Linked DNA regions of Canis lupus familiaris. The protein of the gene in region 5 interacts with the protein of the main gene of each other region in a pairwise test. Links are inferred from orthologs where the notes say so. Each region holds a gene or a part of one and is shown on either strand. Other genes may lie near its edges. The genes, in order: FOXR1, POGZ, FAM117B, SP2, BANP, TNXB and PPIF.

The links.
Region 1: the proteins of BANP (region 5) and FOXR1 interact in binary tests that used the Homo sapiens proteins (3 or more experiments, as listed by UniProt). The two-hybrid records come from large-scale screens. The link is inferred for Canis lupus familiaris from reciprocal best matches to the Homo sapiens genes BANP and FOXR1.
Region 2: the proteins of BANP (region 5) and POGZ interact in binary tests that used the Homo sapiens proteins (3 or more experiments, as listed by UniProt). The two-hybrid records come from large-scale screens. The link is inferred for Canis lupus familiaris from reciprocal best matches to the Homo sapiens genes BANP and POGZ.
Region 3: the proteins of BANP (region 5) and FAM117B interact in binary tests that used the Homo sapiens proteins (3 or more experiments, as listed by UniProt). The two-hybrid records come from large-scale screens. The link is inferred for Canis lupus familiaris from reciprocal best matches to the Homo sapiens genes BANP and FAM117B.
Region 4: the proteins of BANP (region 5) and SP2 interact in binary tests that used the Homo sapiens proteins (3 or more experiments, as listed by UniProt). The two-hybrid records come from large-scale screens. The link is inferred for Canis lupus familiaris from reciprocal best matches to the Homo sapiens genes BANP and SP2.
Region 6: the proteins of BANP (region 5) and TNXB interact in binary tests that used the Homo sapiens proteins (3 or more experiments, as listed by UniProt). The two-hybrid records come from large-scale screens. The link is inferred for Canis lupus familiaris from reciprocal best matches to the Homo sapiens genes BANP and TNXB.
Region 7: the proteins of BANP (region 5) and PPIF interact in binary tests that used the Homo sapiens proteins (3 or more experiments, as listed by UniProt). The two-hybrid records come from large-scale screens. The link is inferred for Canis lupus familiaris from reciprocal best matches to the Homo sapiens genes BANP and PPIF.

What each region holds. Positions count from the first base shown.
Region 1 is NC_049226.1:14,884,004-14,888,012, forward strand, and holds the start of FOXR1 (forkhead box protein R1), read right to left. Parts: upstream 2,801-4,009; 5' UTR 2,659-2,800; coding exon 2,598-2,658; intron 1-2,597. UniProt on the Homo sapiens protein: Transcription factor which acts as both an activator and a repressor.
Region 2 is NC_049238.1:61,136,156-61,139,655, forward strand, and holds part of POGZ (pogo transposable element with ZNF domain), read right to left. Parts: intron 3,239-3,500; coding exon 3,132-3,238; intron 2,245-3,131; coding exon 1,907-2,244; intron 1,551-1,906; coding exon 1,396-1,550; intron 1-1,395. UniProt on the Homo sapiens protein: Plays a role in mitotic cell cycle progression and is involved in kinetochore assembly and mitotic sister chromatid cohesion.
Region 3 is NC_049258.1:11,440,774-11,444,717, reverse strand, and holds the start of FAM117B (protein FAM117B), read right to left. Parts: upstream 2,801-3,944; 5' UTR 2,663-2,800; coding exon 2,053-2,662; intron 1-2,052.
Region 4 is NC_049230.1:24,184,602-24,188,614, reverse strand, and holds the start of SP2 (transcription factor Sp2), read right to left. Parts: upstream 2,801-4,013; 5' UTR 2,789-2,800; coding exon 2,701-2,788; intron 2,557-2,700; coding exon of another isoform or gene 2,554-2,556; coding exon 2,477-2,553; intron 1,772-2,476; coding exon 797-1,771; intron 1-796. UniProt on the Homo sapiens protein: Binds to GC box promoters elements and selectively activates mRNA synthesis from genes that contain functional recognition sites.
Region 5 is NC_049226.1:65,688,824-65,692,323, forward strand, and holds part of BANP (protein BANP), read right to left. Parts: intron 2,376-3,500; coding exon 2,200-2,375; intron 1-2,199. UniProt on the Homo sapiens protein: Controls V(D)J recombination during T-cell development by repressing T-cell receptor (TCR) beta enhancer function. Binds to scaffold/matrix attachment region beta (S/MARbeta), an ATC-rich DNA sequence located upstream of the TCR beta enhancer.
Region 6 is NC_049233.1:1,623,182-1,626,681, forward strand, and holds part of TNXB (tenascin-X), read right to left. Parts: intron 3,244-3,500; coding exon 3,031-3,243; intron 2,863-3,030; coding exon 2,611-2,862; intron 1,495-2,610; coding exon of another isoform or gene 1,444-1,494; coding exon 1,126-1,443; intron 73-1,125; coding exon 1-72. UniProt on the Homo sapiens protein: Appears to mediate interactions between cells and the extracellular matrix. Substrate-adhesion molecule that appears to inhibit cell migration. Accelerates collagen fibril formation. May play a role in supporting the growth of epithelial tumors.
Region 7 is NC_049225.1:29,804,525-29,808,438, reverse strand, and holds the end of PPIF (peptidyl-prolyl cis-trans isomerase F, mitochondrial), read right to left. Parts: intron 3,361-3,914; coding exon 3,264-3,360; intron 2,801-3,263; coding exon 2,725-2,800; intron 1,560-2,724; coding exon 1,424-1,559; 3' UTR 501-1,423; downstream 1-500. UniProt on the Homo sapiens protein: PPIase that catalyzes the cis-trans isomerization of proline imidic peptide bonds in oligopeptides and may therefore assist protein folding. Involved in regulation of the mitochondrial permeability transition pore (mPTP).

The DNA.
Region 1 (4,009 bases), about 51 Mb from region 5:
GGAGATCTAAAAAGTATGCCAAACTCAGCATGTCCTGAACAGAATTCCTGATCTTCCTCCCTAAATCTGTCCTACCAGAAGCTTCTCCTGTTTCAGTATCAGGCCACTCCATTTTTTTTACTTAATCAGCCAAAACTTTGGAGGAGGAATTTTTTTTTTTTAAGATTTTATTTATTTTTTCATGAGACACACACAGGGAGGCAGAGGCGTAGGCAGAGGGAGAAGCAGGAGCCCAGTGTGGGACTCGATCCCAGAACTCCAGGATCATGCCCTGGGCTGAATGAAGGCAGACGTCCAACTGCTGAGCCACCCAGGTGTCCCTGGAGGAGTGATTCCAGTCTCACTTTCTTACACTACATATCCATCAGCGAATCCAGATGGTTCTCCCGTCTCTGCCACCACTCTGACCCTCCAGCCTACCACCATCTCTTGTCTGGATCACAGTAGCAGCCTAGGCTGCTGGCTTCTTATCTCCAAATTTATAATATACCCTCCACCCAACAGCCACAGCTATCTTTTTAGAATATAGATCACGCAACATCAGTTACATAATTTGCAGGGCCCAGTGCCAAATGAAAACGAAGGGTTCCTTGCTCAAAAATTAAAAATCTCAAGACAGTGATAGAGCATCAAGCCAAGTACCAGCCCCCTTTGCCCCCTTTACATGGGTCACACACTTGGGAAGCATGAATCACATCACTTCTTTGCTCAAAACCTTTCAACCATGTCACCTCTTACTCAAAATGAACTCGAAGGAAAAAAAAATATCAACTCGAAGGTTCTTAGAGTGGAACATAGGCTCTTCTGGATCTCTGCTCCACACCCTCTGAACTTCCTTCTGTATTTAAGTTTGACCCAGCTTCACTGGCCTCCTTCCTGTGCCTCAAACACTCTAGGTATATTCCCTCCTTAGGAGTTTTACCCTATTTCTTCTGCCTGAGAAACTTTTCCTCTAAATATCCTTTTGACTCATTGTCTCACCTCCTCAACTCTGCTCCAATATTATGTTCCCAAGGAAACCCAACCTGATGACCCTATTTAAAACTGCAGCCAAAAAAAAAAAAAGGGGGGGGGGGCAGCCCGGTGGCTCAGCCGTTTAGCGCCGCCTTCTGCATGGGGTGTGATCCTGGAGACCTGGGATGGAGTCCCAGGTCGGGCTCCCTGCATGGAGCCTGCTTCTCCCTCTGCTTGTGTCTCTGCCTCTGTCATGAATAAATAAATAAAATCTTAAAAAAAAAAAACACAAAACTGCAGCCAGGGGCGTCTGGGTAGCTCAGCAGTTGAACATCTGCCTTTGGCTCAGGTCATGATCCTGGGGTTCAGAGATTGAGTACCGCATTAGGCTCCTGCATGGAGCCTGCTTCTCCCTCTGCCTCTGTCTCTCTGTGTCTCTCATGAAAAAAGAAATAAAATATTTAGACTTGTCTGTTTTGTTTGTTATAGATCACCAGTGTCTAGAACATCACCTGCAAATTGGAGGTGCTCAATAAATATTTCTTAATCAATGAAGATATAGGAATTCTTAGCATTACTTATAGTGGCAGAGAGTTAGAGCCAAAGGAGAACTAAAATGCAAAAGATAGTATATGCAGATGACAGAATATCACTGCACTATGGGAAATAATCAGATATTTGTTCAGCAACCAGAGTAGCTCTAAAAAACAATGGAAGCAGGCAAAAAAAAAAAAAAAAAAACACACACACACACAAAAAAAAACAAGGAGCATTAATTAAGGTCATCTATAAACATAAAATAATGTTAAAGAGTTCTCAAAGATACACCTATCTAAAGACATTAAAACAATGAGGGTGGGGACGCCTGGGTGGCTCAGCACTAGAGCATCTGCCTTCCACTCAGGTCGTGATCCCGGGGTCCCCGGTGGAGCCTCGCATGGGGCTCTCAGAGGAGCCTGCTTCTCCCTCTGCCTATGTCTCTTACGAATTTAAAAACAAAACAAAACCAAGCCCAATTAAGGGTAGATACGTGGGACTGTGGGAGGTGATGGAAGGCGGGGGTGGTGCATTGAACCAGGACAATGGTTAATCCAAGCACCTTGCCCAAACAGATGGCCATAATGTACCACGAGGTAATCACCTCCCTCTGCCCTCCAGGTCCCCCCACCCCCGCCAAAAGTCCTTTAAAAAAAAAAAAAAAAAAAAGCACGACCGTTCAGCAAATATTGAGCGCCTTTCGGTATCGGCCAGTGTACTAAGAGGGGGGCTTCAGCTCCAGCAAAACTGGTAGCTTTTTTAAGAAACAGAACAACGACTCAAAAATGTGTGGCGTGCCCAACGGCGGTAGGCGCCTGGGAAAGGGGGCTTGGCGAGGCCTAGAAGGTTCTGGGACACAGTGAGGGGTGCGGCGGGGTGGCAGGTGGCTGCTGGACCCGCGCCCACCCCGTGGGCTCTCCCCCCCCAGCCCCGCGTTCCGCTCCCCCACGGTGGGGGCAGGGGAGGGGGCGCCCACTCCGCCCAGGGGCGTGGGACCCCAAGGCCGCCGGCGGCTCCGGGCCGGCCCGCGGGGTCCCAGGGGTCCTGGGGGGCCGAGCGCCCCGCCCCCCCCCCCGCCGCGCCCCTCCCCCACGGCCCGCGCTCACGGTTCTGCTCGGCCAGGGGCAGGTGCGCCGTGGTGAAGGCCAGGAAGGACTCATTGCCCATGTCCCAGTCCAGCAAGCCCGGGACCTGGCCATGGAGGCTGGCCCAGAGGTCGCGGTGCCGGAGCCTGAGGTCCACCGTCGGGGAGGGCAGGTCCCGGGCAGAGGCTGGAGGCTCCGCGGCTTCCTGGGCCCGGCGCGGCGCGGCCCGCTCAGGTGCGGGGCGGCTCCAGTTTGACGCCTCGCCGCGGCCTGCACCCGCTGCTCCCGCCACCTCGCGCCTCTGCCCTCGACGCTTTTATGGGGGCCCGGGGGGCCCGAAGGGAAGGGCGCCAGGTCCTCTTCCCGCTCGGCGTTTGCACGAAGCTCTTCCTGCGTTTACTAAGTTTCTGGACCACTGACGACCGACCCCGTGGTCGCATTAATAGCTACTTTCTAGACGTTCTGATAGATTTTACGGCTTAGCCAAGATCTCACCCGTAGTACTTGGTGGAGATAGGATTGGAGGGTGGGTTTGGGGTTTTTGTTTTGTTTTGTTTTGCTTTTAATCATTTCAAATTTACAGAAAAGTCCCAAGAATAGTATAAAAATTCCTGTATCCCTGGATCCTGTAATCCACCAATGACGCCAAGTATTAACATTTTATCACATTTTAATTTTTCTCTCCGTATACGAGACACTGATTATTTTTTCTGAACTAAGACTAATTTGCAGACCTTAATGCCCCTTTACCCATAAATACTTCCGTGTGTATTTCCTAAAAGCAGGGATATTGGCATACATAACCAGAAAACCAGAAATGAGAACATTATCAAAATCAGAAAATTTAACATTGACTCAATACTATATTTAACATACAGATTTTATTCAAATTTCACTAATTGTCCCAATGACACCCTTTGTATACATTTGCTCTCTGGTCTAGGATCTGATTCAGGCTCATGCATTGCATTTCACCTACAAGCCTTTGTCCTCCTTTTTTTTTTTTTTAAGATTTTATTTATTTATTTGAGATAGTGAGCATGGGGGGGGCAGGGCAGAGGGAGAGGGAGAAGCAGACTCCCCACTGGACAGCGAGCTGCATGTGGGGCTCCATCCCAGGACCCTGGGATCTTGACCAGAGCTGAAGGCAGACGCTTTACTGACTGAGCCACCCAGGCACTCCTTTTGTCTTCCTTTCATCCTGAGCAGTTTCTCAGCCTTTTAAATCTTTCACAACATTGACATTTGGGGAAGAATACAGGCCATTTATTTTGTAAAACGTCCCTTAGTTTGGGTTTGTCTGATGTTTCCTCCTAATTAGACTTGTGCATTTTGGACAAGAATATCACATGAAATGTTGCTTCCTTCTCAGTCACTCACATCAAGAGGCATGCGATGCCAGTGTTTCTTATTATTCAAGTGATGTTAACTTC
Region 2 (3,500 bases), on a different chromosome or scaffold from region 5:
TTCTGCTTTCCTGAAACAAATTCAGGAAAAGACATGGGAAGATGAGGTCTATTCCTTGTCTGCACTATTTAATGCCTGAATGTAAGGCCCAAGATTAACACAGCCACCTCACTACAAGCCAGAGACAAGAGAATTGCAGCAGAACACTCAAGTTTTGGGGTTGAAGTTTACTCCACCTCAAGTAGTCTCATTTAAATGATATAATGGATATCCTTACTGTTTAATTCATTTTTAGTCAAAGTTTTTAAAATGCAGCTTCCCATCACCTAAAAAGCTTTTCTTATTACTTTCATCTGTCTAAATCCTTCTTGTATTTAAAGACTCTAAAAGTTTACGACTTTTGGGGAAACCTAGCCTCAAAGATCTTTTCTCTTCTTTAAACTATTTCACCTATCATTGGTATTATACAATGCATAGGCTTATACTTATGTAATTTTTGTCTCTAAAACAACACCAGAAATCCCCTGAAGAACACAAGAGATATTCTAGGAAGACCAGGCTTAAATCCTCACAATGGCACCTCACTACCGTTATATGCTCTGAAGTAAATGATTTAATTTTTGTGAGCCTGTGTTCAGCCTACATTTCCTCAGCTGTTAGATGTACAGTCAAGGCAACACTCCATATCTCAGTTTACAGTTCAGTGAAAGCACTTTTTTTTTTTTTTAAAGATTTTATTTATTTATTCATGAGAGACACAGAGAGAATAGCAGGCTCCATGCAGGGAGCCTGATGTGGGACTCGATCCCAGGACTCCAGGATCATACCCTGGGCCGAAGGCAGACGCTCAACCACTGAGCCACCCAGGCATCCCTGAAAGCACTATCTTAATGGTAAAGTACTTTATGATGTTTATACTGTCATCTTTTGTCCTATGTAAAACCTATCAGGATACTAACTAAAGCAGAGGTCCAAATATAGATGGATCTTGGTTAAGGAATCCATTATATTACACTATATACATTACAACACGTTACAGTGGTCCTGAACCAAAGTTCCTAACAATTCTAGCCCTGAATTCAATTCAGGCTTGAAGAGAAGTCTAACTTATAAGAATAAAGGGTGAGTGAACTAAAGAATTGACCAGAAATGTGCAAAGAGGGGTGCCTGGGTGGCTCAGTGGTTGAGCGTTTGCCTTTGGCTCAGGTCATGATCCCAAGGTCCTGGGATCGAGTCCTGCATCGGGCTTCCCATGGGGAGCCTGCTTCTCCCTCTGCCTGTGTCTCTGCCTCTCTGTGTCTCTCATGAATAAATAAATAAGATCTTAAAAAAAAAATGTACAAAGAGCTTCCTCTATACTGATACCCATATATAAATGATGGATGGGCTCCTCCCCATGCCATTCAATGAACGAAGAGCAAAGTAAACCCCTAGAGTTTAAGTTCCCAAACTTACTCGTTGATTCATAAGGACTATGAACATTTTCCAAGTGGCACTGGAGCTGGAAGGGCGTGGAAAACTGGCGATAACAGTGTTGGCAGATAGTATGACCATCTACCTCACCGTTCTGCTGATCGAGTTCTACATGGTGCTTCATATGGTTCATGAATCTGTAGTACAGCACAAGGAGAAAGTACAGAATCAAAAAAACCAGTAGCCCTAGAATCCCAGAACATACATTGTGTGTCCCACCCCCTTGTTTGGGACAGTCCTTTTCTGAGCTCAGAAAAGGGTTTCTTAAAAGTAGGAGTTCTATGAAGGGATATACTACTTTCCCTTACTCCCCCCAAAGTTATCTCTTCTTATTAACCACAATACCTTCCTCCTTCTATAGTACTACTTATTGATTTAATGATAATCCTTAGCTAGACTAGATAAACAGGACTACTGCCCAAATAGAAAAACATATAAAAAATTTTTAGTTTTCTCTTGTCTAGGGTAACCTCTAAGGCTCTTCAACACTTACCGAATGTTGTTTTTTAGCCTTTTGGTACAATGTGGGCATCGGAAAGATGTGGCAACCTTAGGGAAGTTTGTGAGTTGGGCCACTTTGCCACCATCCCGTCCATAGTAGAAGTCATCTACTAGCATGATGAGTTTGGTCTGGACAGCATCACCCACATTTTCATTTGGCTCTGGTACTTTGGTAGGTGGTGACAGAGCAGGAATAGGTGTAGAAGACGGTGTGGAAGCAACAGGAACTGTTTTCTCAGGGGATGGGGGCTTTGCAGCTGATGGGATACTGGGTTCTGAATCCAGAGACTTTCCTTTCTTCTGGTATTCCACCATTTCTGGGCAACAGTACTATAAAGGAAGATCATTCTGGTTATCTGGGGGCTGGGATGTACCAACTCCCCAACCTCATGAACATCTCTCAGGTATGGTTTGGTCCTATGTATTCTCATCCAGGTTTCACCCTTTGGTTTTCTATAGTGTTTCCAGAATTCTGGCTTTTTCTATGGATATATATTTATAGCCATATGCCACTCCAAATCCCATACCTTATATTTCTTCCTCCTGCCTTAGATCCTTCAACCACTTAACTAGCATAACTTGCCTCTGAACTCCCTGGCAGGAAGAAATCCCAACTTTTGCGTCTGAACTAATAAAAAATGAAAAGGCTAGAAATGGGAAATGGTTAATGACTCTTGATTCACACAATGACACAATAAATAGAAAATAAATTGAGGAGTACCTAGGTGGCTCAGTCAGTTAAGCATCTGACTTCCACTCAGGTCATGATTTCAGGGTCCTAGGATCAAGCCCCATGTTGGACTCCCCACTCAGCGAGGAGTCTACTTGTCTCTCTCTCCCTCTGCCCCTACCCTACTCGTGCCCTATCTTACCCTCTCAAATAAATAAAATCTTAAAAAAAAGGAAAAAGAAAATAAACAGAGGTTACCTTCACTTGAGTTCTGATTATCTAGCAAACCTGTCCTGTGTAGTTTTAAAATCAACCACAACCAAGGAATTAAGGTCACATATGTTCCAATCTACTTGAGAGTCTCTAAATGTATCTTTCTACATTCCAAAGTATGAAACTCTTCTAAAACAGGCCAAAAGAGAGCATAACCCTTTAAGAAGCTTCTAAGTCATTTTAGAGCCCCTCCTTCACAACCTCCTAATTCTACAGGAGATATACAAGTAGTAGCCACTGAAGCTGGATCCCCATCACAACTGCTATCACTTACACACATGTGACCTCTCAAAGCTTCAGTAACACGGAACTGAGCATTACACCGAGGACATATTTTCCGTCCACCATCCTGGAGGTCAAACACTGGGATGGAAGACGTCACTGAAAGAAGTTAAGAAGCACTGATAAGACTAATGAGACGATACTGGAAACAGATTACTGGCCCTTTGAAGACAAGTTAAACACTCCCTGAAAGGCATATTAAGGTTGATACGCAAGTATGAGTGATCACTATGAGGACCACTCTTTTTACCATTCTTCTAACTCTAGGACAGGGGTCAGCTAATCACAGCTCATAGACAAAATCTAGCCAGATGCCAACTTTGGTTTGGCCCATGAGCTAGGAATGGATTTTACCTTTTGG
Region 3 (3,944 bases), on a different chromosome or scaffold from region 5:
AAAGCAAAAAGGGAGTCTCAATGATTAAAGAGATTCTTTTTCCCTTTCTCTCCCTCCAGATTTAGTCTGAAGAAAACAGCAAATTTTGTGTTTGTGTTTGTGTTATAAAGACGTGAAATCTGAAATCTGAAAGTCCTACTCTGCATGAAAGTTCACTAGAATGAAACCAGACATTCCAAGAAGGAAGCTATCGGACATTCACTTCAGTATGACTTAATGATGAACATTATTCCTTTCAACATCTAGTTGAGAGTGCTGCACCGGAGGAAAAAGTTTTTATTTTCTGGGGGGGGTTTTGGTTGTTTTGTTCTGGTATTGGTGGGGAGATGGTGGGAAGCTTTTGAGAAGGGTTACTTTTATGACTGGAAGGCAGATCTGAGACATGGCAGCTTTGGGACATATGAACAGTGGGCACATCCTGCAAAACAGGGTCCTAAAAAGCAGAAGAACATCTTCTTCCACTTTTTACCAATACTTAATTTAACCAGACTCTCCTCAGGTTGCTGCTCTGCTTCCACTTTCCACACTGTGCCAGCTCCAGAAGATAGAGGGCAAATTGAAGTAATTCTGTTCACCAATACATCTAAGACTTGCTTCAAAACCTAAGCATGTGTAATTTTGCTGCATCATATATATCCAGATTCTCTCTTATACATCATGAGGCTACCTCCTTGATATAAAAGACACGGTTTTGGAGTACCATCCAGCAGAATTCAAATTCGACTTTACCACTTGTTACTTAACCTCTCCAAAACCTATCATGAGAGTTAAAATGAGATCTTGTAGGTAAATCACCAACCACACGGTAGGAATTTAGTAAAGTGACAACTATTTACTTGAAGGAGAGGAGGATTCTAGTACTTTTAACAATGTAAAAGTCAAAAAAAAAAAAAAACCCTGCATTTTCAAAAGGTTTAAAACAGTATTCTTTTTCTAATTAGAAAACACTATTGATCATTTTTCAGAGCGATCTCTCCAAACGTATCCATTGTCTAAAATCTTTGATAAAATAGTAAGAAAGATTCATCCCATTCCCTGCATTTCTGAAGGGACCCTTAAAACTACTTAATCTCTTATTTGGTTGAGATGTACTGTGTTAGGTCTCCTGAAATTTCCAGTAATTCTGCCCGAGTCTAAAGAAATTCTCTAGGGAAGAATAAAGGTAGTATAACTGCATAAGCTAAAAACCACCTATTTCTTTTTCTCACTATATTCTAATACGAAGGCAATTCGATGACAAATCTTATCTCTCCACTTTCACAATGTGAATTTCTTTCTGAGTTACTCTTTATGAATGACTCCAGTGGAACCCAACAGCTTCATTCAGAACCTTTTCCAAGAAAGCTCCCAAATACATAGAAAAACAACAGGGTTTTTTGAGGGATCCCTAAAATAATAACAAAGGGATAAATGTTAGATTCGTTTTTTAATAAAACAAATCAATGGTTTTACATCTAAACAACATCTGTATATCAGAAATACATCCGGACTCTAGGAGGAAGCCCATAACCCTTCTAAAGGAATCTTCTGTAACTTACTTCTTTCCTGCTACCCACTTTTACCAAGTCTTAGGAAATGCTAAAGGCTCCCAGCCTCACGTCTCTACAGGAATCCAAATCTGCTATGCTAATGAATTCAGTCTTTACAATCTGAAACTGTTTTGAGAAAAAGAAATACTTAGCAGCAGACATGTGCTATACTAACATTACCCAAGTGACAAACCACGCCTAGCCTCACTCCCAAGGCAGGGTAAGCAGGAACCAGCGTGTGACCAGAATCCCAGGTTCATCATTAACACGTCTCGGCACAGCCACCAGGTTAGCGGCTGCACCTGCCCGATGCGGGACCGGAGCAAGGTCGGTAGAGCCATGAATAAGACGCCCACGGAGCGAGGTGTGTGGAGGGCGGGCCCGCCCCGCCCCCGGCCCCGCCCCGGCCCCGCCCCCCGGCCGCCCCGCTCCGCGGTAGCGCCGCAGTCCCCGCGCGAAAGCCGCGCGCGCCCAGGACCCCTTCCCGCCGCCTTCCCCTCGCCGCGCGGTCCCCAGCACGTACCTGCTTTGCAAACCGGGGCGCTTGGGCTCCTCCTCTCCGGGGAGCTACGGTTCTGCTCCGGGGACCGTCTCCGGTGCCGGACGCGGGCTGGGGGTGGGGCCGCGCTCACCTCGCCAGTCCACAGGTGGGTGGGCGACGAGCAAGGCGACGACACGGTGCCCAGCAGCGGCGGCGGGGGCTGTGGCCGCGGGGGGCTCCCGCGAGCCCCGGGCGCGGCGCCGCGCGTGGGGCTGGTGCCTCGCGTGGACGTCGCGGACGCGCCCGTCTGCGTGGCCACTGTGGGGCTGGTGCGCGCGGCCGCACTCCCGCCGCCGCGCGTGGGGCTCGTGCTGCGCGAGGCGGTGCGCGGGCCCCCGCCGCCCCCGCCGCCGCCGCCGCCGCCGCCGCCTGAGGGGCCTGAGGCGCCACCACAGCAGCCGCCGTTGTTGCCGCCGCCGCCGCCGTTGCTCCGCGTGGGGCTGCCATGTTGCTGCTGCTGCTTCAGCTGGAACGGAACCGTCGCCCTCATGGGTTGCAGGCGGCTCCCGGCTCCCCCGGCCGTGGCGACCGCACCGCCCCCGAGGGAGCCGGCCGGCGTGGGGGACCCATTGCGCCTCACCCGCTGGGACATGGTCCCCCCCTCCCTGGTGACGGGGCGAGACGGGGGGGGCTTGTTGTTGTTGGGCTGCAGGGTTCGGCTTCTCGAGGCCGGAGGGAAGGTCCCCGCGACGGGGTGACGAAGCCGGAATCCGGGGAGCAGGGGGCGCCCGGGCCGCGGCCGGCAGCAACGAGGTGGTGGTGGTGCAGCCGCCGCCGCCGCCGCTCCTCCTCATCAACAATAGTGTCTCCTCCGCTGTCCCCGCCCCCCGCGGGCGCCCATTGGTGCCGCGTCAGCCGCGCTCGAGCCGCTCCGCCGCGCTCATTGGCTGCCCGCGGCTCGGGTCCGGGCCCCCGGGGCCTTAGAGAGCCTGGGTTTGCGCCGAGGCCGTCTGCTCTTTAAAGAGAAAGAGGCCCCGCCCCCCGGGGAAGGGGGAGCGGAGGGAACAGGCCGTGCGTGTGTGTAGAGTGTGCGCGCGCGCGGGCGTGTGTGTGTGTACACGTGAATGTACGCGTGCGCGCCCTGGCCACGCGAGTCTTCCCCTTCCCGCAGGGGGGAGCCCTGGGGCCTCGGACTCTGGAGTGTTGCCAAAGAGAAGGTCCCGGACGGGAGCGGTCCCCAAGGACGTCCGAAGTCTCGCCCTCAGAACTCCTCTCCTTACCTCAGTATCTCCGCGCCGAGGACGTGTAAGCGCATCTCTTTTTGTTCTGTCCTAATTCCGTCAACGTTTGGACCGAGCTCGGAGGGGAAATTTAACTGATCTTTTATGGGCATTTTACACCTCGGCTTCTTTTTGTTTGTTTAAATCTCCTCGAGCTAAACCTCAGGGAGATTAAAATTTTGCTGGTTAGGATGTGAGGGTTTTTTTGTTGTTGGTTTTTTTTTTTTTTTTTTTTTTTCAGATTGTGTCCAGGAAGTCCAGTTAAACCAAATGCTGTCGCCACCTTCCTACATCGCAAGGAATCGAGAATTTTATTCCAGTCAGCAACTTCACCGTTGCTCGATACCTTGGAAAGATGTGTGCTACAGGTTCGGAAAGTGCCGTAGTCCGCAAAGGGATTTATTTGATGTTCGGCATCGTTATTTGGGACAGAACTGGACTAGCCATGACTAGTTTTGTCTAATGAAGGAAACAAGTCTTTGTAGTATGGGCAAGAACTTAAGAAGACCGGCAGTAACGGTAGGTCTTAATCTCAGGAGCTCCTCATCAAGACCAACAACAAGGAGAGGTAGACCCAGACACCACATACTGACTTTTCAGGCTACGAATTGCTTGCTGGCCCATGACCTCTTTTTACTAGTTCTTTAGATGTCC
Region 4 (4,013 bases), on a different chromosome or scaffold from region 5:
AATGGTAGCACCTGCCATACCAAGACGTAGCAAGTCAAGGTGAAAAGCAGAAAAGAGCATGGGGTTTAAAGTCAGAAATTTGGGTTGAATCCTGCCTCTTGTCACCTGTGCCCCATGAGCTCTTGGAAACTTAACTCCTCTGAGTTCCAGGCTCTCCATCTGCAACATGGGCATAATCTCTGGCATTTACTAGGCATACACGAAGAATAAAACCACCTCACAGAGTCAAATAGATTCCAGAGTAGTATGGCACCTTAATATAAGCCCCAAATAACATTCTTATTGAATTATTAACATCCCAGATGGATCTAGCCTAAGTGTTCCTGCCATCAAGCTGGGCTGTGTCTTCCTACTTTTTTTCTTGCCATTAACAATGACCAAAATTTTCTTATTAATTTTCTTACTTTACATCAAATTCTATGGTTCTGAGATTTCATTCTTGCTGCTGTATGTGATTCTATAGTAAAAAATAAACTTTATTATTAAAAAATACGTATCTGTCCTCTAACCACCCTCCAAAAAACTCTCCAAAAAGAAAAAGTGGACAATATAGGTATATAGGGATGTCTTATCCGATTTCTAAGGATGAGCAGTACATAACCACCTGAACCAAAGAGAGCCCACATGTCAGCAGAAATGGCCACTTACTACTGACCCCAGATGATGCTGACTCCTAGCACTCAGGTCAAATCAGCAGCTGCCTCAGTATCATCTTCTAAAGCAAGCCAGGGGGAACAGAGTGTCAGCCATTCAGTGCGAAGGAGAGGGAGGCGGGTGTAGAGGGTGAGTGTGGTACCTGAGTAGGCGTCGGCTCAGCCGCCTGGATCTGAAAGTTCTGGGAGGGCTTCTGGGGGACGGTGGGGAGGGTAGCAGATGCCGCCTGCACCACCCGCAGAGCCTGCTGGGGGATCTGTACCACCTGCTGCTGCTCGGCCTTGGGGGGCACCACCTGGACCTGCTGGACCACAGCTGGCTGGCCCCCACCAGGGCTCTGAACAATGAGCAGGTTGTTTCCTGCCTGGATGATGTTGTCCGCGGTGGTCTCAATCAGCACCGTCTCCACTTGCTCCGCCACAGCCACAGGGGGCTGGGAGGCAGGGAGACTCTTCTTCCTGGCTTTCTTGTTAGTCTTAGACAGAGGGGTGGGGGGGCTCTCCGTGAGGAGCTGAGTGGTGGCCCCAGAGTCGCTGGTGTTCACAAGGTTGTTGACGGGCAGAGTGAGTGTCACATTGCCGCCCCCACCCGTCAGCTTCACCACATTGGCCCCACTCTGCACAGGGGTGGTAGTTGTACTTGACTTCTGAACCGGGGCTGGCTTGATGGGGACAGGCTTGTGACTGGATGGTGAGGGGGTGATGATGGCTTGGCTGGTGCCAGGGATAATCTGGATCTGGTTGGTGAGACTGGGCTGTACCTGGATGGTCTGGGAACTGCTCGCCTGTATCTGAGGGACCGCCTGGTACTGGATATTGGCATTTGATCGGGTCCCTTTGTTGATCACAGTGGGATTCTGAATAGCGAACACGAGCTGCCCCCCAGGATAGGATGCACTCAGTTGTGACCCCTGAATCTGAAGGATGTTTCCTTTGGAGGACAGGATTCCGAAGCTATTCTTGCCAGGACTGAGAGGGAGAGGGGCAGGTTTGATGGGGACGAGTTTCCGTGGTGTGGGCTGGGGGGGAGCAGGCGGCGTCACCGCAGCTTCAACAGCTGGAGGGCCAATTTTGCTACATGTTGCGGCAAGCAGGGCTAGAGGAGATGGCTGGGAATCCTGCGAGAGAACGAGCGGAGGAAAAGTGAGACATGAACCTGCTGCCCAGCCACCCTCTACCCTTCGTGGTCTCCTCCTCTTGGCAGGCTCTTTGGCACCTCTGTGGTAGGCAGGGTGCTAGCATCTTCCCTCTCCCTGCTATCTCCTCTTTCTCTGAGGGAGAAAGGGTAGGCAGTGCCTTTCTCGGGGGGAACTCTCTAGAAGCCCCCATAACAAGGTGAACAAACACCTTTCCCACTACCCGTGTTTCTCAAGGGGTCACAGAATCATCCTCAGCTTTTAGGCAGAAGTCCATTGGCCCATCACGAGGGCTGAGGGGCCCCTGATTCCTCAGCTGAGGAAGGAAGGGAGGAAGAATAAACACTCAGGTAAAGTGGGGAGGGTGCTCTTTCGAGGCTACAAGGACAGAGCCTCTGGACTGTAGGGACACAGCCTCTATTTCCCTTTTATGGTCAGTGGGTCTGGTGGAAGGGACCTGGAGTTTAATCCTGCTTTTCTCCCAACTCAACTGTGCCACCTCAGGTAAGTGGCCCTGGCTTCTTCATTGAGAGAAAATGAACCACCGAATCTTCCCAGGGGTCATGTCCCAGGGTGTTTACAGAGAAGCCAGTACAGAGTTTTCAGCTGTGGTTTAATGTCAGCTTCAGAGAATGCCTCCAGGCTGATGCAGCACTGCCTCCCCACCCAAACCCACTGCTCACTCACCTGGGTGCTGGGGGCGGCGGGCTGCAGGTAGTCGCTGGGGCTGACAGCGGCAGTGGCAGCCATGCTGGTCTGTGGATCTGCTGGAAGAAAAGAGACTGAATAAGTCACCAGAGGCCCAAACAGAACCCAAGCCCATTGGCCTCAGGTACTCCTTTTGCCTCTCTCTGCTTCTCCAAGAGGTCAACCTTTTCTAATGCCTCCCCACTCAAGGTTAGCAACCCTACATCTTGTTCGGTGGGTGGCCTTCTCTCCTCTCCTCCAATCTGTCCATCCTGGGCTGGGAGGGCAGCTGGTTTTGTCTCTAGGCATCATAAAGCCTGGGACAACAGGAAGACACAAGACTTTGCTGAGACCAGCTTCAGTCATCCAATGGAGGAATCTCTACAGGGTACTGCTAACTCTAACTAGGTTGATGGAATCCCTATTTGGTGGGCAGGAGAGCCGCCCTCATCCCAGCCCTGCACCTCTGGTTAATCCTCTAGATCTAACCCAAGCTCCTTGCTCACTCCTTCTATAGCCAAATGCCAGGCTGACAGTCGCTTCTCTCCTAGGATCCCTGACAAAGACACACCTGCTCCACGAGAAAGGAGATCTAAGGTGCTTTATGCTCAGCCTTCACCACAAAGGTACCAGAGCCCAGGTAATGATCTTGAGCATGTGGATAACCACTTTCAGTGACTTTACATAGGCTAACAGGTATGGCCCCAAAGGCATCACCAAGACTAGAACTAATGACTAAATATAATGAGAATGAAAACAGAGTAAATTCTATTTTTGTTAAATGTGTACATATTTCTATATGTGAACACAGCAGGAAATGTCTTTGAAAATGCTGAAACGTTAAGACCCATTATTATCTCCTGGCAGTAGAATTTTGCTTGACTTCAAGAATTTTTCTTGTTTTTCTGGATTTTCTCATTTTCCCACAATGAATATACCCTATTGTGCCCCCCCCCTTTAAGAAAGAACAATAAGGAACGTTGAGGAAGTAATGAAGGGAATGTCTACTCTGAACTTAAATCAGATTTAAAGAATTAAAGTAAAATGGAAATCATGAGAATTTGGGGGTCGGGTGGGGAAGAATCTATGCCATCTTGTAGTTCATAAATCACTAAGGAAAAGGACACTAGGCAGTGAGACTCGCATCCTTAACCTTTGGAAAGTAGCTCTTGGGAAGTACAGAAACAAGGTTATTATTTCAGAGAAATAAACTGTGTGAGAAGCCAAAAGCACAGCTCTAGACAAAATCGTATAGGGAGATCTTGAAATATTACAGACACTGATCCTTGGCAAAATCCTAGAAACAAGACTGAATGGCACGTTATAATTACTGAAGACAACAATGACCCTAAGGAAGAAGGCACAGGGTTGCAAAAACTGAATCATGCTGTTTTCATGAGGTTTTGCATGGATACATCAAGGAAAGGGTATACACTCTGTATTTTATTTCAACAAGGCATCTGACCGAAATTTTCATAATATTCTTATGAATAAGAAGGGAAAAAAACTGCAGGCAGGAGAGTATGGTTTGGAGGCC
Region 5 (3,500 bases):
CTATGTGGGCATCTACCCAGAATCCACGTGCACAGACAGGAAGAACACGTAGTTACAGATGCCATCTCTACTATGGATGGTAAATCTCCATTAGCTGAGATTGATGGCATCCCTCTCTTCCTCAAACTTAATGTGTAAAAAAACTAAGTGATTCCCCTCCCAGGTGCCTACGAAGAGGAACAAAAACACATGTTCTCGCAAACTACCTAGATAGGCATTGTCATCACAGTTAAAAACTGGAAGCACTTCAAGTGTCCACTGACAAATGAACAGATGGGTGGACAAAATGTGGTGCATCCACATGATGGAGCAGGACCTGGCCACAGAAGGGATGGCGTGCTCTACACGGCTCCCCCGTGTGTGAAGCGCCTGCAACACATAATTCCGGGGATGGAGAGTGGACTGGTGAATACCAGGGAGAATGGCCAGTGACTGTAGCAGGGCCTCCTTCCTGACAGAAATGTTCTGGAATTAGCCTGGGCAATGGCTGCACAACCATGTGAATGTACTAAAAACCACTGAATTGGATGCTTATTTAAAATGGTCAACCTTATGGTATTTAAATTCGATCTCAGTTTCTATTTTTTAATTTTATTTTTTTTTTAAGATTTTATTTATTTATTCATGAGAGAAACAGAGAAAGAGAGAGAGAGAGAGAGGGGCAGAGACACAGGCAGAGGGAGAAGCAGGCTCCATGCAGGGAGCCCGACGTGGGACTCGGTCCCGGGTCTCCAGGATCAGCCCCTGGGCTGAAGGCGGCGCTAAACCACAGAGCCACCCGGGCTGCCCTCGATCTAAGTTTTTAAAAAACGCTGTCCCTAAACCCTGATTCTCTCCTCACTCCTGCTGTGCTGTCCCAATCCTAGCAATTTATGTCAGAATTGAGCAAAACTTTGAGAAAAACACTGTCTTCAGTCTTTCAGATATGGTAACCTGTCTAACAGGAAAATCTTTGCTCAGTAAATCTACATCACTGCCTTTAGGAATCGATATTGTGCTTCTGGTAATAATCAACAACTCAGACATAAAACCAATAAACCTGACAAGTTTACTAGTAAATGAAACAAGAGGCTTTAGAAGTCAGTAACACAGCGCTAAACCATCAATCTGCCCTCTTCCCCATGCTATGAAAAGCCATGTGGGAAGCCGAGGTTGGCCCACAAAGGCAGGGCAAAGGTGCCAGGCAGCAGGGAGCCTCTGAGAGGCACATCAGGCCAGCAGCAGGGACCAGGGCCAGTCGAGAGCATACATCAGACCCTGGCAGGAGAGACGGGGGGACAGGAGCCCTGGTGTGGGTGAAAGAGGCTCACGTCCAGGCTCACATCCAGCCAGCAGAGCAGCTCCCTCTACATCTCGTGGAAGGTTGTACAATCCCCTCTGAGCACCTGTGTCTGGTCTTCAACAGAGACGTGGATAGGCCTATGGTCAAAGGCAGTGACCAGCTACTAGTTATAGAAGCACAATGCCTGTCATTAGAAAGCCTCCAGAAGCTGACTAGACGTGCATGAATGAGGTCTGTGTCACACCATGAATCATACCATGTTTATGCTCACATGGAAAAAGCCCACAGGATTCTACAGAGCTCTCTGGACATGAAATTTTATGTTTTTCTCACTTTCTTCTACCACTTTTTAAAAACAGTAAACATGTACAGATCTTCCTCAACTGGGGATGGGGCTATGTCCCAAGAAACCTATCATAGGTTGAAAAAATCTTAAGTCACAAATTCATCTAACACCCCTAACCTACCAAGTATCACATGTTCGCCCAGCCCACCCTAGATGTGCTCAGAACATCCACGTTAGCCTATAGCTGGGCAAAATCATGTCACACAAATACCGTGCGAGAGAGCTCATGGAACTTACCGAACACAGTGCTGAAAGGGGCAAACAGAAGGGCTTGCAGGGGATGCGGAACAGTGGTCGGCCTGGTGGCTACTGACTGCATGACTACGGGCTGATTGGGAGCCGCTACCTCACATCACCAAGACCAGACTGCACGCTGCCAGCCTGGGGACAAGACCCCAATTCAAAATTTGAAGTACAGTTTCTACCAAGCATGGATTGGTTGTGAGCCATCATCAAGTTGAAACACTGTGAGGCTGACCGCTTTGCTTTCCTCCGCGGCAAACACACAGAACAGGACAGGAAGCCGTACCTACCGCCTCTCAGGCAAAGGAAAGAAGCTTTGCGGGCGCACCTTCTGAGTTGAGGGTGATGAGGGTGACGTTGTTGCCAATGTTCTGACTTCCTGACTGTCCACAGTTGGAAAAGGAGTCGCTGGCCTCGGACCCGCTCTCCCCGTCCTCGTTGTGGCTGTCCTCTTGACCCGGCACCTTCACCACAATGGTGTTCTGTCGTCGCCCGGGCACCGCGCTGAGCGGGAAACAAAAACACCAGCCAATGTTGTGAGCGTGCCATGAGCAACAAGCAGACACTAGCACTGAGGCACTGCCATGTTCTTCTCACCTTCATTTATCAGAGACTCTAAGCTGCGCATGGAGCAGCAGCTCACAAGTCTCCCCATACAGCTCTCCCTACCAAGATTAACAGCAACTGAGCAGCACGAAATAGTCTGGGGTTGGAAAGAAACCGTATGAAATTGCAAAGTTTACAATCATGTTTGTATCACAAGAGAAAAAAAATCACAACCCACTGTGACTCAAGGCCTAGAATGCAACTCTCTGATCACAGAGGTGATCCTGCAAAACGTGGACATTTGAGTAACTTTTTAGACTATGCAAAGGAAAGACTGGATTAAGAGAAAGTGAACCTGGAGACTTTTCACTGATCCAATCCACTCCCTACTTAGACCTACCAGAAGCAACTAGACTCTGTTAATGGCCATTATCACTCCCAACTATTCCCACCAACAAAATCCACTGAAATGGATCTAAAAAGCCAGCCAAGAACTTCCTAAGGGACAGTTTCACCACCCTAAGGGGTCCTGATATGGGGCTGTAAGATACTGCCAGGAAAACAGGACATAAGTCACCAGCTCCAAAAAAGGCCCAAAGCATCTGTATTTATTGCCTGGAGACATGCTACGCAGCTCTTCCAAGACCGCCTCAACAACATCCCTTCGCGGGCACTGGTGGGCACAAAGAAAGTGGAAGAAATGCCACCTCCCTGCTTACAGAGACAAAACATGCTTCCTATCCTGGCTGTGCCACGGGGAGGGGGCTCCACCTTCTGGACTCGATTCACAGCAGCCTGCTCAAGCTGCCCTGGCTCCTAATCGCTCGGGGTCAGCCCCTGGCATGCCTGACCCTGTGTCTCACCACTGGCAAGAGCTCCCTGGCCCCCAAGCATCTAGCCAGGCCTTCTCCTGCCCCCCAGCGCAGCAGGCCGCGGCACTATGGGGCCCTCAGGAGTGGCTAGAACAACAAAGGGCACAGGACACAGCTGGGGGAGGAACGATCTGCAGACAGGACCCAGAGAAGAGGCCAAATGGAGCTCTGTGAACACACAGAGGGGAGCCACAAACAGAGGGGCCCTCTC
Region 6 (3,500 bases), on a different chromosome or scaffold from region 5:
TCTGGTCAGTCACTGCTAGCTCACCCAGGCGTGGTGGGGCAGAAGTCTTCCCAGGCTTCGGCCCATCCCTGTCTGGAACGTGGGGGCGGAAGTTGAGCAGGTGGACTCAACCGTTACCTTTGTCCCTGGTCTCCTTCCCTCTCCTCAGCCGGCTGGGTCCCTCCTTCCTTGACAGCTCCCTCCCCCAGAGCCTCCACTTCCCCACCTCAAGCCTCTGTGAGCAGCCCTCCTCTGTTCTGGAGTGACAGCATTAGCCCTCCCCTTGTGCTAGTTTCCCCACCTCTCACAAAGGTCCCAGTCCCTCTCCACATCAAGACCACTGGGGGAGTTTCCAGTCATCCCTGGTTCTTCCGGAGTCAGAACCTCCTCCTTGCCACTCTGGAGCAGCTGAAGACTCCTCTGTCCACTTTTCTCTCCCTCTCCTCCCTCTCTTCTAGTGCTGAGCCTGACCTGGAGTGGCAGGGAGTATGCTACCCTAGTCATAAAGAGGGACCAGGAGGGAACCTGAGAGCCAGGAAGTCCAGGCCCTGGGCTTCACTGACACCACAAACCTCACCTGTCTCTGAAGCCCTGATCCCTGTGGAGCTCCCTACCCTAAAGAACCTCCATCCCCAGCAGAAACTGGCTGCTGGGACCATGGAGCACAGCCTACTACAGGCCAGGCTCCCAGAATGGGGGCTGCTGTTCTAGGCTGCCCCCTGAGGGGGTGGTGGGGGCTATGGGGAAGGGAAGGGGGAGAGGGGGCTAAGGGTCAGTATCATCAGGGCTGAGGCCTTCCCATGCCTACCCTCAGAGATCTGTGAGTGACCAGGAACTGGGGAGGACACAGGACAAAGAACACTGTAAGTGGAAAGCCAGAGCCTACAGCCCCTCTCTTGACTCCCAGGCCCACCCTCTGACTTTTCTCTTCCCATCTCCCCCCTGCACCTCATCCTTATTCTGAGACTCCCTCCATTCCTCTTTCCCCTGAACCCTCAACTCCAACCTCCTCTCTCCTTGTTTGCTCTTACCACTCCAACCCAAACACCAGCCCAGCCCCACAATCCCCATGCCACCTCTAAAGCCCCAATGGCCCAGCCCCTCCCCATCCCCAGGACACTGATTGGAACAGAGTTCAGGATATACCCATAATGCCTTGGTAGATGAGAGGGGCAGAGGGCTCGCCCTCCGGGGGGACCCCACGCAGTGACAGCTCATAGGGGACTCCAGGAGGGGGCGAGGGCACCAGAGCCTGGCGGACATCCCCGGGCAGGAGCTCCTCATGTGGCCCTGGCCCCTCAGGCACCCGGAGGTGCAGCTGGAAGTGGGCAAACGTGTCAGGCTGAGCAGTCCAGGCGACACGGAGCTTCCCCGTCTTGTCTCTGCCCAGCACCCTCAACTCTCCTAGCTCCTGGGGGCGCTGCTGCAGTTCAGGGGCCCGGGCCCCTTGCGTTGTTGAAGGGCCTGAGGGAAGAGGCTCATCAGTGGCCCCCAAGAGGCCTGAGGGAGAGGACCCTGGGAAAGGGCAGGGTGAGAAAAACAGGAGAGTTGGGAATGAGAGCAAGAAAGGAAATCCAGCCCCCAGGTTCTGCCTTCTAGCCTCTAAGAGCCCACAGAGCCTCCCTCTTCTGCTTCCAAGTCCACTCCCTGGGCTACTGCATCCTCCCAACACCCCTGTCCACCACATTCCTGAACAGACAGGCCTGCAGGCAATAAATGAAAGAAAGAAAGCTGACCATCCCCCCCTCACAAGGCTCCTGTGGCCTCTAGCCCCCACAGACTTCCACGTCCCTCCCCAAGCACATCTCCCTGCCCACGGGGTGGTGGTCGTAGCTTCCATTAGTGCTGCAGTGAGAAGCCTGGAAGAAAGGAGGGGATGTGGTGTTAGGGAAGGCAGATGCAAGGGGAGAGTGGGTAGTGAGGAGAGAGGGAAAAGAGGGTGTGCGTGGGTACATCCAGCTCAGGTGGCATCTGGGCCCTAGGTGGGGAAGAACAGGTCCACATCCCTCCCCAGGGCAGCCCGAGAGCACCCCTTCCCTGGGCCTGGCATCATTCCTGTGGAAGAGATAAGCATGAAGTGAGCCAGGAGGTCTGGAAAGACAGCTCAAGAAGCAGTGGGTTCACCGCTCACAGACACAAGCTGCCTGATGACTTCAAGGCCAGCCCCACACTGTTCTGATGTGTCCCTTTGAGGTCCAGGCCAAATCGTGGAAAACTCTAACCACTGACCAGAGCCTTTGGCCACCCTCACCACAGTGAGTCAGAGTGGGGAAGTGATGGTTTCACTCTGGTGCCCCACTCCCACTGCTCCAGTGAGTTTCTGCAGGCCCGCCCCGTCCGTTCCCGGGATGGCAATCCGGGCAAGCGTCCCAGGAACCCTGAAGACCAGGTCTCGCCCTGGGTATCCCCCCTGAGGCTCCTGGGGTGGAGATGGCTTCTAGGCGCCCAGTAGGGCATGCTCTGCTGTGGGGTCCCCTGGAGTCTGGACCGGGCTTGAGGGCCCCGGGGTGTGGTGCGGGTGGGGTGGTGGTCCGAGCAGCGAGGCGGCCAGAGGAACTCTCCGATGGGGACTCCAGCGTCGGGCGAGGCTGGGCAGGGGATGGGTGCTCCCGCGGCCCCAGCGCATGCTACCTGTGGTGGTGACGAACGCGTAGGACGTGGAGGTCTGCCCTGCCCGCACCCCGTGGACCTCCACGTGGTAGGTGGCGCCGGGCGTGAGGTCGGGTAGGCTGACGGCGCGCGCGGTGCCCGGCACGGTCAGCTCCCCGCCGGGGCCCTCCGCGGGGGGCTGGGGCCGCCAGCGCAGCACCACGCGCTCGAAGTGGCCGCGGAGCCCGTCGAGGGACACGAGTAGCGCGCCGTCGGCGGAACTGCCCAGCACCTCGGGCTTGGGGTGGCGCGGCGCGGCCTCGCGGTCCACGCCCTCCGGCGAGAGGCCGTCGGTGCCGGGCTCGGAGGCCCCCTTCCAGGCGCCGGGGGCGGGGCTCGCGGCGGGGGCGGGGCGCCGGGCCGGGGGCGCGGGGGAGCCGGGGGGGGCGGCAGCCGCCCGACGCCGCTGCAGGTACTCGTGGACGCGGCGCGCCACCGACGCGTAGGTCTGGTTGGCCCGCAGCGGGTAGCCGTGAGCTCTCAGGTGGCGCTCCAGGTCTCGCACGCTGCCGCGGAACCGGCCCAGCTCGCCCGGCAGGTTGGCCCACGGCCGCCGAGGGGGCTGCGGCGGGCTGGGCCCGGGCCGAGGCTCCTCCTCCCCCTCCTCCTCCTCCGCTGGCCGCGAGGGCCGAGCGGGGCGCGCGGGGCGCGGGGGCCGCGGGGCGGGAGCCGGCCGGGGACGGGGCTGGGGGGGCGGGGCTGGGGGGCGCACCTCCGGGTAACTGTAGTGGCCTGGCGCTGCCGGGGGCAAAAGAGGGGGGAGGGGAGAGCCGGTCAGCGGCAGCCCCCTCCGTCGCGCCCCTCCCTCCGTCCCTCCCCCGGGCGCCGGGGGCCTCCGCCTGCGCCCCAGCCCCACCTGGAAAGAGAACCAG
Region 7 (3,914 bases), on a different chromosome or scaffold from region 5:
TCTGTGAGCCAGCCCCCAAAACAGACTCGGGGTCACTAGGACAGGGAGCTGTGATTCGGGGGATGGGGTGGGGAGCCAGTGCTCACTGACAGGCTGTGGGTGCTAAGATCCTTTGTCTGGGCCCATCTCGTCTATGAGGATGACAACAGTACATCCTTGGTTGGACTGATTACGTGAGATCATCCGGGTAAAAACCCTCAGCAGAGCCCCGGACCCATGTGTGGTAACGCCAGTAAAAGTTGGCTCCAGGGCAGCCCGGGTGGCTCAGCGGTTTAGCGCCGCCTTCAGCCCAGAGCGTGATCCTGGAGACTCTGGATCGAGTCCCACCGTCAGGTTCCCTGCAGGGAACCTGCTTCTCCCTCTGCCTGTGTCCCTCTCTCTCTTTCTCTGTGTCTCTCACGAATAAATAAATAAAATCTTAAAAATAAATAAATAAAAGTTGGCTCCAAATCCTGGAGTTATAAACACTGCTTCCTAAGACCACCAGACACCACACAGTCTTCTATAGAAAATAGGATTTATTTTCACATTTCAAGTGAACACAAATGTCCCAAAAGTGAATTATATACATAATCAGTACATTAAACACAGATAAATCAAAGCCCTTCCGAAAATACACAATTACTTTCCTCCAGAGCCCCCGGCATGTGTGGGCCATTTCCATTTTTCACCACTTCACCAACTAGGCACAGCTTGCAGTGGGTTTATTCCCAGGTTTGTCTGCTTCTCTCCTCCCTCCCCCCAGACTCTCCTCAAAAACCACAGCAGCAAACCAGTGGGATTCACAGAGGCCGGGAGAAAATGCCAGGGCCAAGGACCCTTCACAAAAGCCCCGATAATGTTCCGAAGGCCAAGCTCTGGGTTCCCATGGCTTCTGCCGCCAACTGAGGTCATATGACGGCACAGGGTAGTTAATGTCACAGCTTCATCTCGGGGCAACCTCGTGCATTAAATTATTCTGATTCGAAGGTACCACTGAACAGCTATAATGGCCTGTTTACAGCGGCTGGCTTTCCTGGCCCTGGCCGAGGAAAAGGCAGGAACCCGTCCCTAAAGCTAAGCCATCGCTGCTTCCACATCCAAGGCACAGGTGTACTTGGGCTGGGGGGTCACAGAGAAGGCCTGATGAGAGGCACAGGTGAACTTGGGCTGGGGGGTCACGGAGAAGGCCTGATGAGGAACGGTGACATCGTGTTCACGACCAGGGTCTTGAAATGGGGTGTGAGGAAGGGTGGACATGGGAGGCAGTGTGCTGGGCCCTGTGGAGATGTGACATCCTAGAGAGGCCTTCCTCAAAGACACACTGATGGTAGAACGAGCACAGGCGACTTGACGGGGCACCTTTGCTGGGGCCCAAGGCGGCCGTCCAGGTGAGTCAACACCAGTGCAGCTGCAACCACCCTTGCGCCCTGGCCGGGGCAGGTTAGCTCAGTTGGCCACAGTCTGTGATAATGATCTTCTTGGACGTCTTCCCACTCCGGGAACCGAAAGATTCTATTTTCTTCACTACGTCCATGCCCTCTTTGACGTGGCCAAACACAACATGCTTGCCATCCAACCTGTGAGGGGAGTCAAGTACGAATAAGAGTAGTGCAGTGTCCGCCAACGTCATCATGGTCCCTCAGTCATGGAACTATTCATCAATTTAGCTATTTAGCAACTCTGACAGGGACTCACACTGAAAATCTGGACCCACCCCCAAAGCTCCGGCATCAAGCTTCGCTGAACTCCCCAAAAACGCACCAGGGGATCCCTCCCTTCCAGGGCACATTCTGTCTCACATGCCGTGTGACCTTGCCCTGGGCCGCTTAACCTGGATCCTGGTAACCTCATCTATGAAAAGTGAATTATTCTTGTTCTGCCCACGGAGATCACAGGGTATCAAGCTACTCTCAAGAAACAAGAGGTGCGTGTAAATGGAACCATCTTCGTGGTCATGCGTGGCAAGGTGAGAGCCAAGATCACAAGTCCCAATCTGAGAGAGTTCCAAGAACCCAAAAGCAGTCTAGTCTGGTGCCAGCAAGGCCAACTCTGGATCCAGCCAAGGGCAGAACCGCAGGATCTATCAGGGGTTCCACAGAAGGAGCCCAGAGCCAGCAACGACCTGCCCTGACACCCGTGTCCCTCTTGGCTTGGGGTCAGCGACAGCTAGTATCCATCTGCCACTCAGGTCTCCCTGGAGTCCTAGGAAATGGACTTTAATAAGTCTTATCTCTTGGTCAACTATTGTCCCCTCAACCCCATGTGCCTCAGGGTTAGGACACAGGGGACTTTGGACAGACGAACTTACGAGGTAACAGGAAATGTGCCAGGGAAGACATCCCTAAAATCCACAGGCGTGTGGGCCAGAGGTGTGCTCCAAGCTCAAGGCCAGAACAACATGTTAAAGCAAGCAAACAGGCTTTCACCACAGGCCACCCTGAGGCCTGAGAAGCTCTGCAGCCTGTCCCAGATGTATTTGGTAAAAGCCCATGGTGTGTGCATGTGCACACGCAGCAGCAGAGACCTAACAAAGACACGGTTCTAAGAACGACCCGAATCCTCCCTCATTCCTTTTATGCACTTCGTCTTTCTCCCATACGGACGGACACATAGCCCGGGTGAGAGCCTCTGTCCCAGAGCACGGTCCGGTCTCACACCACCTTCCCCCGGAAGCACATCAACCCTCTTCCAGCTGCATCCTCCTCCTTCCCAGAGGGCCTGGAGTCAGGCGTGGGGACTCACCAGTCCGTCTTCACGGTGCAGATGAAGAACTGGGAGCCGTTGGTGTTGGGGCCTGCATTTGCCATGGACAGGACACCTGCAAAAACAAGCAGGAGTGAGCCACGCTGCACCAGGAGGCACCTCCCGCCTGGGAAGTCATTCACGCCACGGCAGGGACGGCTGGGTCTGAGGTCCTGGAGCCTGGCGAGGACAAGCAGGGCCCAGCGCTCGACAGCTCCCCAGGGCCCGTCCCGTGATCCATGGTGGAGACTGGAATGGGAGGGACTTGTGCACCCCGACCTCCACGTTTCTGCGAACTGCACCTTGGGTCTTAAATGTGAACCGACACTGGCTTTTGCCCAAAGGCGTTCTCTAGCAGTTTCTCCAAGGAAGGCTTATTTCTATTTTGGCATGAAAAAGCTCCAGGAGAACCAACACCCCGACCAGGAGGGTAGAAGGAGGGAAGGGGCATCACCAGGTTCTGGGAAATCAGTCACCAGGCTGCAAACGCCGGCCCAGAGCTCAGGGCGTCCGGACCGGGGAACCGCAGGCTCGCTCACCTGGCCCCACGTGCTTCAGCGTGAAGTTCTCATCAGGAAAGCGGCTTCCATAGATGGACTTTCCCCCGGTGCCATTGTGGTTGGTGAAGTCGCCCGCCTGCGAGCACAGAGCACCTCCTGAGCAGCTGCCACCCTGAGCTGGCCGCGGGGGTGCTGCCCCGGCGCTGGGAGGGAGCCCCCCAACCCACCCAGGGCCCACCCAGCCGGCAGCCCTGCACGCCAGGGGGTCAAAAAACATCCAGGGATGTACGGACTAATTAAAAAACAAAGAAAGTAAGAAAAAATAAAAGCTTAAATATTTTTGGCCATGAATAACTTCCCTACCTTCCAAACGATTCACTTTTTTTTTATCCAGGCAAGTTTTTAAATGATTCTTAAAGGATCTAATGGCCATTCTGAGAAGATTCATAGGTAGTGACCTAGAATTTTCTACCTGCAACTCTTGGAGGGGAGACAGGGAGGTGGCCAGGGGTCCCTGTTCCCAAGGCTGCTCTGTGGGGGGGAGCGGCAGCTGCCAGAGAGCCAGTTCCCTAGGCTGAGCCCCACTGCCTGCCCGGCATCTCCTTCCTCACCAGCCAGGTGGCCTCCCTATACCTTGCAGACCCAGGATGGCGTATCCATCTGCCCCCACTCTACCCCCCCACCTGCCCA